Nothobranchius furzeri: one gene and its partner. The main gene of each other region encodes a partner of the protein of the gene in region 2 in a complex. Links are inferred from orthologs where the notes say so. Each region holds a gene or a part of one and is shown on either strand. Other genes may lie near its edges. The genes, in order: pttg1 and espl1.

What was found.
Region 1: the proteins of espl1 (region 2) and pttg1 are in contact, whole or in part, in a cryo-EM structure (PDB 7NJ1), measured with the Homo sapiens proteins. The link is inferred for Nothobranchius furzeri from reciprocal best matches to the Homo sapiens genes ESPL1 and PTTG1. Residues at the interface, in NP_036423.4 of Homo sapiens: His402, Thr405, Val406, Tyr409, Ser461, Asn462, Tyr465, Tyr468, Arg505, Arg508, Glu512, Glu544, Thr547, Phe548, Arg551, Gln590, Lys593, Ala594, Val595, Arg596, Thr599, Gly600, Arg603, Gln634, Cys637, Tyr638, Trp683, Ile686, Glu690, Ile697; in NP_001269311.1 of Homo sapiens: Tyr111, Pro112, Glu113, Ile114, Glu115, Lys116, Phe117, Phe118, Pro119, Phe120, Asn121, Pro122, Leu123, Phe125, Glu126, Ser127, Phe128, Asp129, Leu130, Pro131, Glu132, Glu133, His134, Gln135, Ile136, Ala137, His138, Leu139, Pro140, Leu141.

The regions. Positions count from the first base shown.
Region 1 is NC_091741.1:85,725,788-85,730,065, forward strand, and holds the start of pttg1 (securin), read right to left. Parts: upstream 3,031-4,278; 5' UTR 2,932-3,030; intron 2,392-2,931; 5' UTR 2,386-2,391; coding exon 2,301-2,385; intron 2,222-2,300; coding exon 2,088-2,221; intron 1,568-2,087; coding exon 1,486-1,567; intron 1,059-1,485; coding exon 894-1,058; intron 1-893. Other genes in the region: septin6 (septin-6), read left to right, coding at 3,570-3,599. UniProt on the Homo sapiens protein: Regulatory protein, which plays a central role in chromosome stability, in the p53/TP53 pathway, and DNA repair. Probably acts by blocking the action of key proteins.
Region 2 is NC_091743.1:50,208,298-50,212,562, forward strand, and holds the start of espl1 (separin), read right to left. Parts: upstream 2,847-4,265; 5' UTR 2,734-2,846; intron 2,600-2,733; 5' UTR 2,580-2,599; coding exon 2,499-2,579; intron 2,339-2,498; coding exon 2,036-2,338; intron 1,949-2,035; coding exon 1,199-1,948; intron 1,113-1,198; coding exon 1,011-1,112; intron 894-1,010; coding exon 782-893; intron 694-781; coding exon 566-693; intron 407-565; coding exon 213-406; intron 140-212; coding exon 1-139. UniProt on the Homo sapiens protein: Caspase-like protease, which plays a central role in the chromosome segregation by cleaving the SCC1/RAD21 subunit of the cohesin complex at the onset of anaphase. During most of the cell cycle, it is inactivated by different mechanisms.

The DNA of each region.
Region 1 (4,278 bases), on a different chromosome or scaffold from region 2:
GGCCAACCACAGAGCGTAAAGACAGTTACCCAATGAGGATTTTCCTTCAGCACGATTACAGATATTTACGAGTTTTACACTCGTATTAGTCAAAAATGCTTTATCCGTACACTCATCCCTAGCTGTAACCACCCTGCCTCCTCCTTGCTGCCTGCCAGCTGTGATCACAAGCAACAACACAGTAGTTCCTGCTGCTTCTTCGGGAAACGGCGCAAAAAATAAATAAAGAAATAAAACTTGGGACCTTGTAGGCGTGGCAGTGGGATTTTAGCCATGGTGGGCCGCCACGGCTACGCCTATGTAAGGGAAACACTGGGATGCATATCAGTGATCCAAACTCCCTTCCCCGTGGGCCGGTACGTTTTACTAGTTTCCCTGCTTCAATGTGCCTGATTTTAATCAGCAGGTGATTAACAGGCTTCTGCAGAGCTTGATGACAGGTGATTGAAGTGTGTTGAATGAGAGCAGGCGTAGGCAAGCCTGGTCCCAGAGTACTACCACTCATGTTTTTGTTGATTCACTTGTTCAGCAGCTCACCAAGCTCCTGCTGATTAAAATCATGTGTTGGAACAGGGAAACAACTAAAACATGCTGGATACTGGCCCTCAAGGAAGACAGTTACCATTAGAGTATGTTGTCTGTTAATGCTTAGCTCGACAATCATTGTTTGAAAGAGTTTCACAAAATTGCCAGATTATCCATCATTATGCCACGAGGGAAGATGAACAGTTCAGGAATTAAAGAGTCATATTCAGACATTTAAAGTCAAGAGTTTCTATCAGGTGGGCTAAGCCATCATCAGTGGTCTGCCTTTTAGAAAGTTGAGTTAGAAATCAACTTAGTAACTATGAAGCATAAATGCAAACAGTTAAGAGTAAATATTAAGTGCATACCTGAATATTTTGGCATCTTTATGGGTGACAAGTCTGGAAGTGGAGCCATCTCTGTCAAATCCTCCTCACACAGCTTAGAAAGAGTTGTGGGAAAACAGGCCAAACCAGGAAGTGCCAAGCAGCTAAGAGGGATCAAGTCCTCAGGGACGCTGTACCTCTCAAACTCTGGGAAACATTAGAACCTTGTTTAAAACATGCAGAAAACAGTCCTCCGAGCACAAGACAAAGCAATATAGAACATTAAACTTGTCTAAAGTTTCTATAGGAAGGAAATTAGATCACGTGTGTTGGAGCCTCTTTTGCAGTGTATAGATGCTCAACTTTAATAATGACCAGCTTAAGTCAGATGCTGGTGGAAATCTATTGAGTTTGTAAACTAAAAATCTGAGCAATTATTTTGAGCAGGAATTTTTATTTAGTGGCAACAATGCGGGGAACTCGTACCTAGAAGCTTGATATTTCTACATCAGCCATCTTTTGCAAACTATTATACACTGTGTGTATAATAGTTTGCAATTGAGGGGGAAATAAGTATCGACTTCACTGAAATGTATTGTTTTAGGCAACTGAATAAAAGTCAAACTCAATTTACCCAAGGGGTCATACGGGATAAACTTCTCAATTTCTGGATATTCCTCAATTTTGGTTTGAGGAGCAGGCTCGACTTTGTTTTCCTATTGAAACAAAAACAAAACAAAACATTGACTTGGTACAACAAGGTAAAGAGAAATGGATGGCAAAGATCTGGGGCCTCATTTATCAAGCTTGCTTACGCACAAAACGGGGTCGGAAAACTGCGTAAGCAACTTTCCACGCAAACTTTGGGATTTATGAAAGAACTTAGCGGAAAAATGTGCACAACTTTAAGTTGACCAAGGACCTTGCTTACGCACATTCTGGACATGGAGAGCACCTGCAGTGCTGCTGCTGAGAATGATAAAATTATTAATTCCAGCAGCATTATCACTTGTACCACTTTGTGCTCACACAGAATAAGCAACAAGTACATTTTTTTTGCTGAGCTTAAGTACAGTTTTATTAAGGATTCTACGCAATATTTGATAAATTAGACCCCTGAACTTTTAGTTTAGTATGGCATCTTAGCTGTGATTTGAACTTCATACAAAAAGATGCAAATAATACTTTGTCAAAATATTTTTTTATGCGTGAACTGAAGACTGTCCAGAACCCAACCTGTGGCTTCAATAGAGTCTTCTCCTGTGCAGAGACTGCTGGGGTCAAAACCTTGTTCACAGCTCCAAAAGCTTTACGACCAAATGGCAGAGGTGTTTTAACAGATTTAGCTGCCTCTGAATTCAGAAGTTTCTCTGGTAGAAAAATAAAAAAAATGTGAACTCACATCCAACATCACCTGCTAACATAGGAAAAATATTCAGTTCAGAATACCTGGAGCAGACTGAAGTCGCTGTCGCATCTTCAGCGAAGGCACATGAAGACCAGCATTTTCTTGCTCTGCAAGGATGTTTGCCATTTTTATCTGACAAACACATGCAAACGTTATATTCTGCACCAAAATGCAAAAACGTTTTTCAAAACAGCAAAGCTAAAAGTGAGCTTTGTAAACTTTCAGCAGTGGGGGAAAAAGGCAAAACAGATTTAGCCAAATCCTAAATTAATTTAATACAAGCTTATTTGTTTTAAACTACTTTAAATATCTAGTTTGAAGCCTTTAGCAATTATTTTATAGAACACTTATCCAATCCCAAAATATACATTTTATTTCAAGTTAGTCACCTTTATTTACTGAAAACAGATCACCTGAGTACCAATCAAACCTATCAGAAATTTTTGACAAGTGTTTATTTTTTAAACTTTTCCCGAACACTGACATACAAACGTTAACAACGGTTTTTTGACCGCTAAACAGATATTTAAAAAAACAAAACAATCAAATGTTAGCTTATATGCTAGCGCTGTATAACGTCTTAATCGTTCGCGGGTTTATGGATATTATCTTGACCCATTCAAAGAAAATAAACTATAAATTTAACTTGAACTGCTCTCTTTGATAACTCACCTCTACGAAACACAACCTCTAACTCAGTAGACTCGACCTGACCGTGCTGCTCACTCGGTTGAGGTTAAGAAACTGTGTACGAACGAACGACCGCGAGCCAATTTTAAATTCACGGCATCCTTCCTATTGGCCAATATCACGCACGTGACTAAAATAGGCGTCGCCTACTAAGTGTTGTTAGCATTGAAGATTAATTGTGAGTCGTAACACCTGATTTATTTACGCTCATGGCTACACATGCTTTACAAAATTGTCGGCCACTACTATAAACTAAACTAATTTGTTTCAGGATGTTATGTGTGTCTGTGTGCTTCTTTATTTTATCAAGTTACATCACATCTGCTCACTACCATTCATATCAGACGAAACCATTAAAGCATTCGATGGGGGACTTTCTTTATGTGTTATTTTATGTCTTCTGCCATCATTTAGAAGCCGCTTCTGTTAATAGAAGTCATCGGTTTTAACAGATACATATGTATTGTCATTGGAAGTTCAGCTACTACCTTTATAAGAAATGCGACATACTTTGATAAAATGGTACATTTCAAGCAGGCCAGGTTTCAGCGTAGCGGCGCAGCTTCCTTTGCTGAAGTCAGAGCGACAGTGGGTTCGTCCTCCGGCTACTAACACTCACCATGGCGTCAACTGAGATAGCAAGGCAAGCCGTAAGTAGTCTGTTTGACTCTAAAATCCATTGTATGCATTTATTACATCTTCGATATGCTGGGAATCGTTTCAACTTATTTGTGTAACGGGTTATTTTGGAGTCGGTTAGCTTGCTAACACCCGTGTTCACATTCGAAATTCACCATTGCGTTGCTAATTTAGAGTCTGTTTATAATAAATCGTGTTTTTAGATAACAAATTATGCATCTAAAATGCTCTTCGTCTGATGATGTTAAATCAAGGCGCATCACCTCGTGCATTTACCTTTCCGGTGAAACAGCTTTAGCATTGCATTTGCAAATGCCCTTAGATTTCATGTGGTGTTTATTTGAAACAAATGCATGGCGAAATGGCACATTGTGTGATTTTAAATGTTTAATTGAGTTTAGTAGGTGCTGGATCGTTAAAAATGACGGATCCACACAGATCGATCGGTAGGCCATTCATTCTGAAAGCCCCCGTTTCAGCACAACCTCGGTGCTCATTTCCGTTACCGTGTTTTATTTAGGAACCCGTTAACTTTCACACAGGCGTTGTCTTGATTGCTTGCAAAACAAAGACAAGAGTTCAAGACTTGTTTTGGAGAGGAAAGGGGATTTTACACACTCCTTGTTATCCAAGCTTGTTTTTTAAGTGGGGAAAGGAAGCCACTTAACCCAGAGGGAGTTCTTAGAATAG
Region 2 (4,265 bases):
CAACAGGTCACACAAAGTGTTGTAGCGCTCTTGGGTCGTGTCTCTCGCCAACTCCTTATACGCACGCAACTCTTCTTCCAAAAGGCAAAGCATGAATTTCTCTTCAGGAACGTCAGGACCAAAACCATCCCGTAATGTCCTGTTTCAGGAAACGACGGATTTTAAGCAAAACACAAACAAAAACAAAGCCACTAAATAGTTCTTCTCTGTACCTGAGTCTTATGTCCTCATCATCATTACGGGCAGCATCACTTTTTGTTTTAACCCACAGAGAGACCGGTTCAGCCATGTGAGCCATCACCTGGTCTCCAAGGGCTTTCAGCCACAGGATCACCCACTTCAGGGCTCGATCCAGCGCTTCGGCTCGTCGCGAGGTTTGCACGGCCAGCATGAATGGTCGACTCAGCTGGGTGGTCACGATATAAATAATATTAGCTACAAACCATCAAAAAGCTCAGAAACACCAGTTTTAAACCAACCTAACAGAAACAAAACACCTTCAGCTGCAGGAACTAATTAGAAAACAACATTTCGATCAGGATAAGTATCAGTTGGATCGACTTACTCTATCAGCAGTAAGTGAGACAGGATGATTCTTGCATAAACTTCTGCAAAGGATTTCCACCAGAGAGAAGGCCTGCTCATACAGACGCCGGTTGTAAAGACCACAAGCCACGTTGCTCACAGCAGTCACTACGAGGCACAACAGTGTGTACAATAAATAAATACCTGCATTCAGTAATGATGAAGAAACATTTATGTTAGGATTCATTTCAGTCACCGGTTTTGTTCAAAAGGTTTTCATTGGGCGCCTTGTGAAGTTCTGTCATCAGTAGCCCAGCCGTGGACTGGCAGTAGAGGAGGACTCTGTCCAGCGTGTCCCTGTCCTCCAGCTAGGACCCAGAAACAATCAGCATCATTACTAAAATCCAAGTCTAAAATTCAACATTATGCTGCACCGGGGCCATGCTTAACTTACCATCATCATGAAAGTGTAAATGTGTTCTCACCTGTGATGCAAGCATGCTCTCATAAGCAAATAGGAATCCTTGGTAAATACTGACACAAAGGACCTGCTGCAGCCTGCTGCTCTCAGCCTGGCACATCAAACTCTGGGAAGAAAAAATATATATACATGCGAGGTTTTATTATTATTTTTTAGATAAAAACGTTTCACTGTCCAAAGTGTCCCACTAACCTTTTTTTGCATTTTCATTATCCATTCTTGATACTCCTCAAGGAATGAAAACAGCGCCAGAAGTTCTGGTCCACTTAATCCTTTACTGTGTCCACTTTCAACAGCCCATATCACTAGATTACCACCTTCAAGAGCTGCCTGACCCTCCCCTTTACCCAGGTCAGCTGAGAGAGACCTCAAAACCCTGGCACACTCCATCAAGACTCGGCTGCACTCTTTACCGGCCGTCAACGCTGAATGAATCTCTATTCCCCATGTGGCCAACACCAGAGGCATGCACTTTGAGCCAACACGGTCGAAAATCATCTTCTCAGTTTCATCCAAGAGGGTGGAGGCTAGACCGTGGTGGCTTGCCTTACAGAGGGCCTTCACAGCGAGCAGCGCCATCTCAGAAAACACATAAAAACTTGATGCTTCCATAGGCTGCCTGAAAGTACCCTGTTCACAATTCTGCACACTTGAAAAACATGTGTTAAAAAGTGTCTGCACTTCCTGGAGGAGAAAAGAAGCATCATCTGGTGTCACTGTCCCACATCCATCTTCAAACTCGGTGATGGCATCATATGTGTACATCAGAGCTTTAGAGGTGGGAACTGCCTTTTCTGTGTCCAACAACAGGAAGCTCAAAGCTTGAAACTGGCAATGAAGTTTGTCCTGTGGATTGAGTATTTTTTTGTCTTTGGAAGCAGACAGTCCAGTCCACAGAACAGAGAAGCAGCTTCGCACAAGAACATGGAAATCATCTTGAGCCTACAGATATTACAAACCACAGTTACTCTGACAAAGACCACACAGCAGGGATGTTGACATATGCGAGAACTGTTTGGTGATACATACCTGCTGTGCTGTGGAGAGCCTTTTATAAAGCAACCCTGCCACTTGGCTACAAAGAGTGTGAACCTCTAGAGAACTTAGCTTCTTCACAATATGGAAAATGATCTTTTCCATGTAAAACGGACTGGTCTGAGCCACGAGCTCTGCAGAAACATCATAACCACGAAGAGAAAGCTCCACCAGATTCACTAAGGCCTTGATGTGACCCAGGGGACAAGATCCAACTCCAAGGTGATGGTTACAGGCTCTGATAACCCTGTCACACAGCGTGCGTCCCTGGAGTCCAGGTTTACTCAGGATATGCGTCTGAGAAACGTAAAACAGACATATTCACGTCCTAATGCAAGAAAATACACGTAGATGTAAACAGTTTTTAAATTCCATGAATGCCAAACAAAGTACTGGCCCTTGGGCTGGTACGCATTTTTAAAAAGGACTAGAGTAGTGTTGCTAAAAACAAGCTAACCTCCAATTCCTGGTATAAAAGCTCCGTCTCTTTAACAGAAGCGGTCCGCTTGATGTATTCGTCCACTTTCAAACACTTCATGTTGACGTATGTAGCAGACACTGTAGAAAAAGTAGAGCAGGTTAAATGGGAGGCTAATCTTAGCGGAACGCCGACCAAATGCGCTGCTTTAGGCTAACAGTTAAACTTGCTAAAGCCATCAGCTGGAATTCTTATGAACCGTTAGGTTACTCACCCTACAACATGAAAACAAGACACTTGCTGTTCATACTAACTCCTTTAAAGCCAAGTACTGCCAAACATTAAAGATAAATCCGTGCACTATTACCCGAATGCAACGCGCGCGCTGTTTTTGAATGAAAAGTAACCAATCAGACCTGAGCCATTCAGGTTCCAAGGAGACGCAAAGGATTATGGGTGTCGGAGTTTTTAAGAATCCTGCGTTGGTCTGCTTCCGGTCTGGTCCCCAGAACAAAGCGGGCTTATGCCCTGCATGATCGCACATATGTTCTACTTTAAATGAAAGGCAAATATGTGTGTTTTGGCTATGTCTGTTATGCACTTTAACCCCCAGAGACCCACGGTTGTAATATTACAACATCAGATTTAAGTCTACAAAAATAAACCTTCCCCATTTTTTTTCTTTTTAAAACCACATTTACATTGCCAATAGGTCCTATTGTTCAGTTCTGCAACACTATTGGCTGTTAAAATGTGTAAATAGGCCCGTTTATCTGGCCTCCTGTAACAACATGTGAAAGGTTAAAAAAGATTTTGCAGTTGTTTTCTAAATTTGGGTCTCTGGGGGTTAAGGTTTATTAGCTTGTAAAATTTTGTATTACAACTACACTCTAGCAAGTGTGACATCACCACAGAATCTCTTCTCCCAGCATAGTTACTTATGGGGTGCCATTTGTAAAGTCAAACAGTCATAATCTAACAGCAATATTTTTGGTTATTTAGCATATTATAAGAAAAAAAATTGGGAGTTCACTTTTTCAAAGTCATATTTTCACCATGTTATTCATACATTTATAAATGTTAAAGTTTCCAAATAAATATTTAGTTAGCAAACTAAATATTTAATTTATAGTTAAATATTTATTTTGCAAACCAAATATTTAGGTCTAAGCTAAATATTTAGTTTGTAAAATAAATATTGAATTCACTAATTAAATATTTAATTTCCTAATTAAATATTTATTTTGGAACTAAATAATTAATTTGTAAATTAAATATTTGATTTGTAAATTAAATATTTATTTTCTGAAAAAAATATTTAGATCCCAGCTAAATATTTATTTTAGAGCAAAACATATACTTTGCAAAATCAGTATTTGGGAAGTAAATATTTAAGTCTGACCCAAAAATATAAAATATAGTGTGGAGCTAAATAACATCGTGGAAAATAAATATTTAGCTGGTACTTAAACATTTTGCTAATATGCAAATTTGCTTACCAATAAGCGGAAGTTGGTTACCAAAATAAAAGCTGGATCTCGCTAACCTCTTTATAAACTCTTGCTCCGAACCAGAACTTGTTTTATCTCCGGTTCTGTTCTTCTTCAGCCAACACGTCGGCCACGCCTATCTTCTTCCATTTAATGACAATGTTATGCATCGTGTGTGTGTGTGTGTGTGTGTGTGTGTGTGTGTGTGTGTGTGTGTGTGTGTGTGTGTGTGTGTGTGTGTGTGTGAAAACAACGTTTTATTTGATTACTACCCGTTATTACCTTAACGACCCTCTTGTAAAGAGCTTATTTAAAA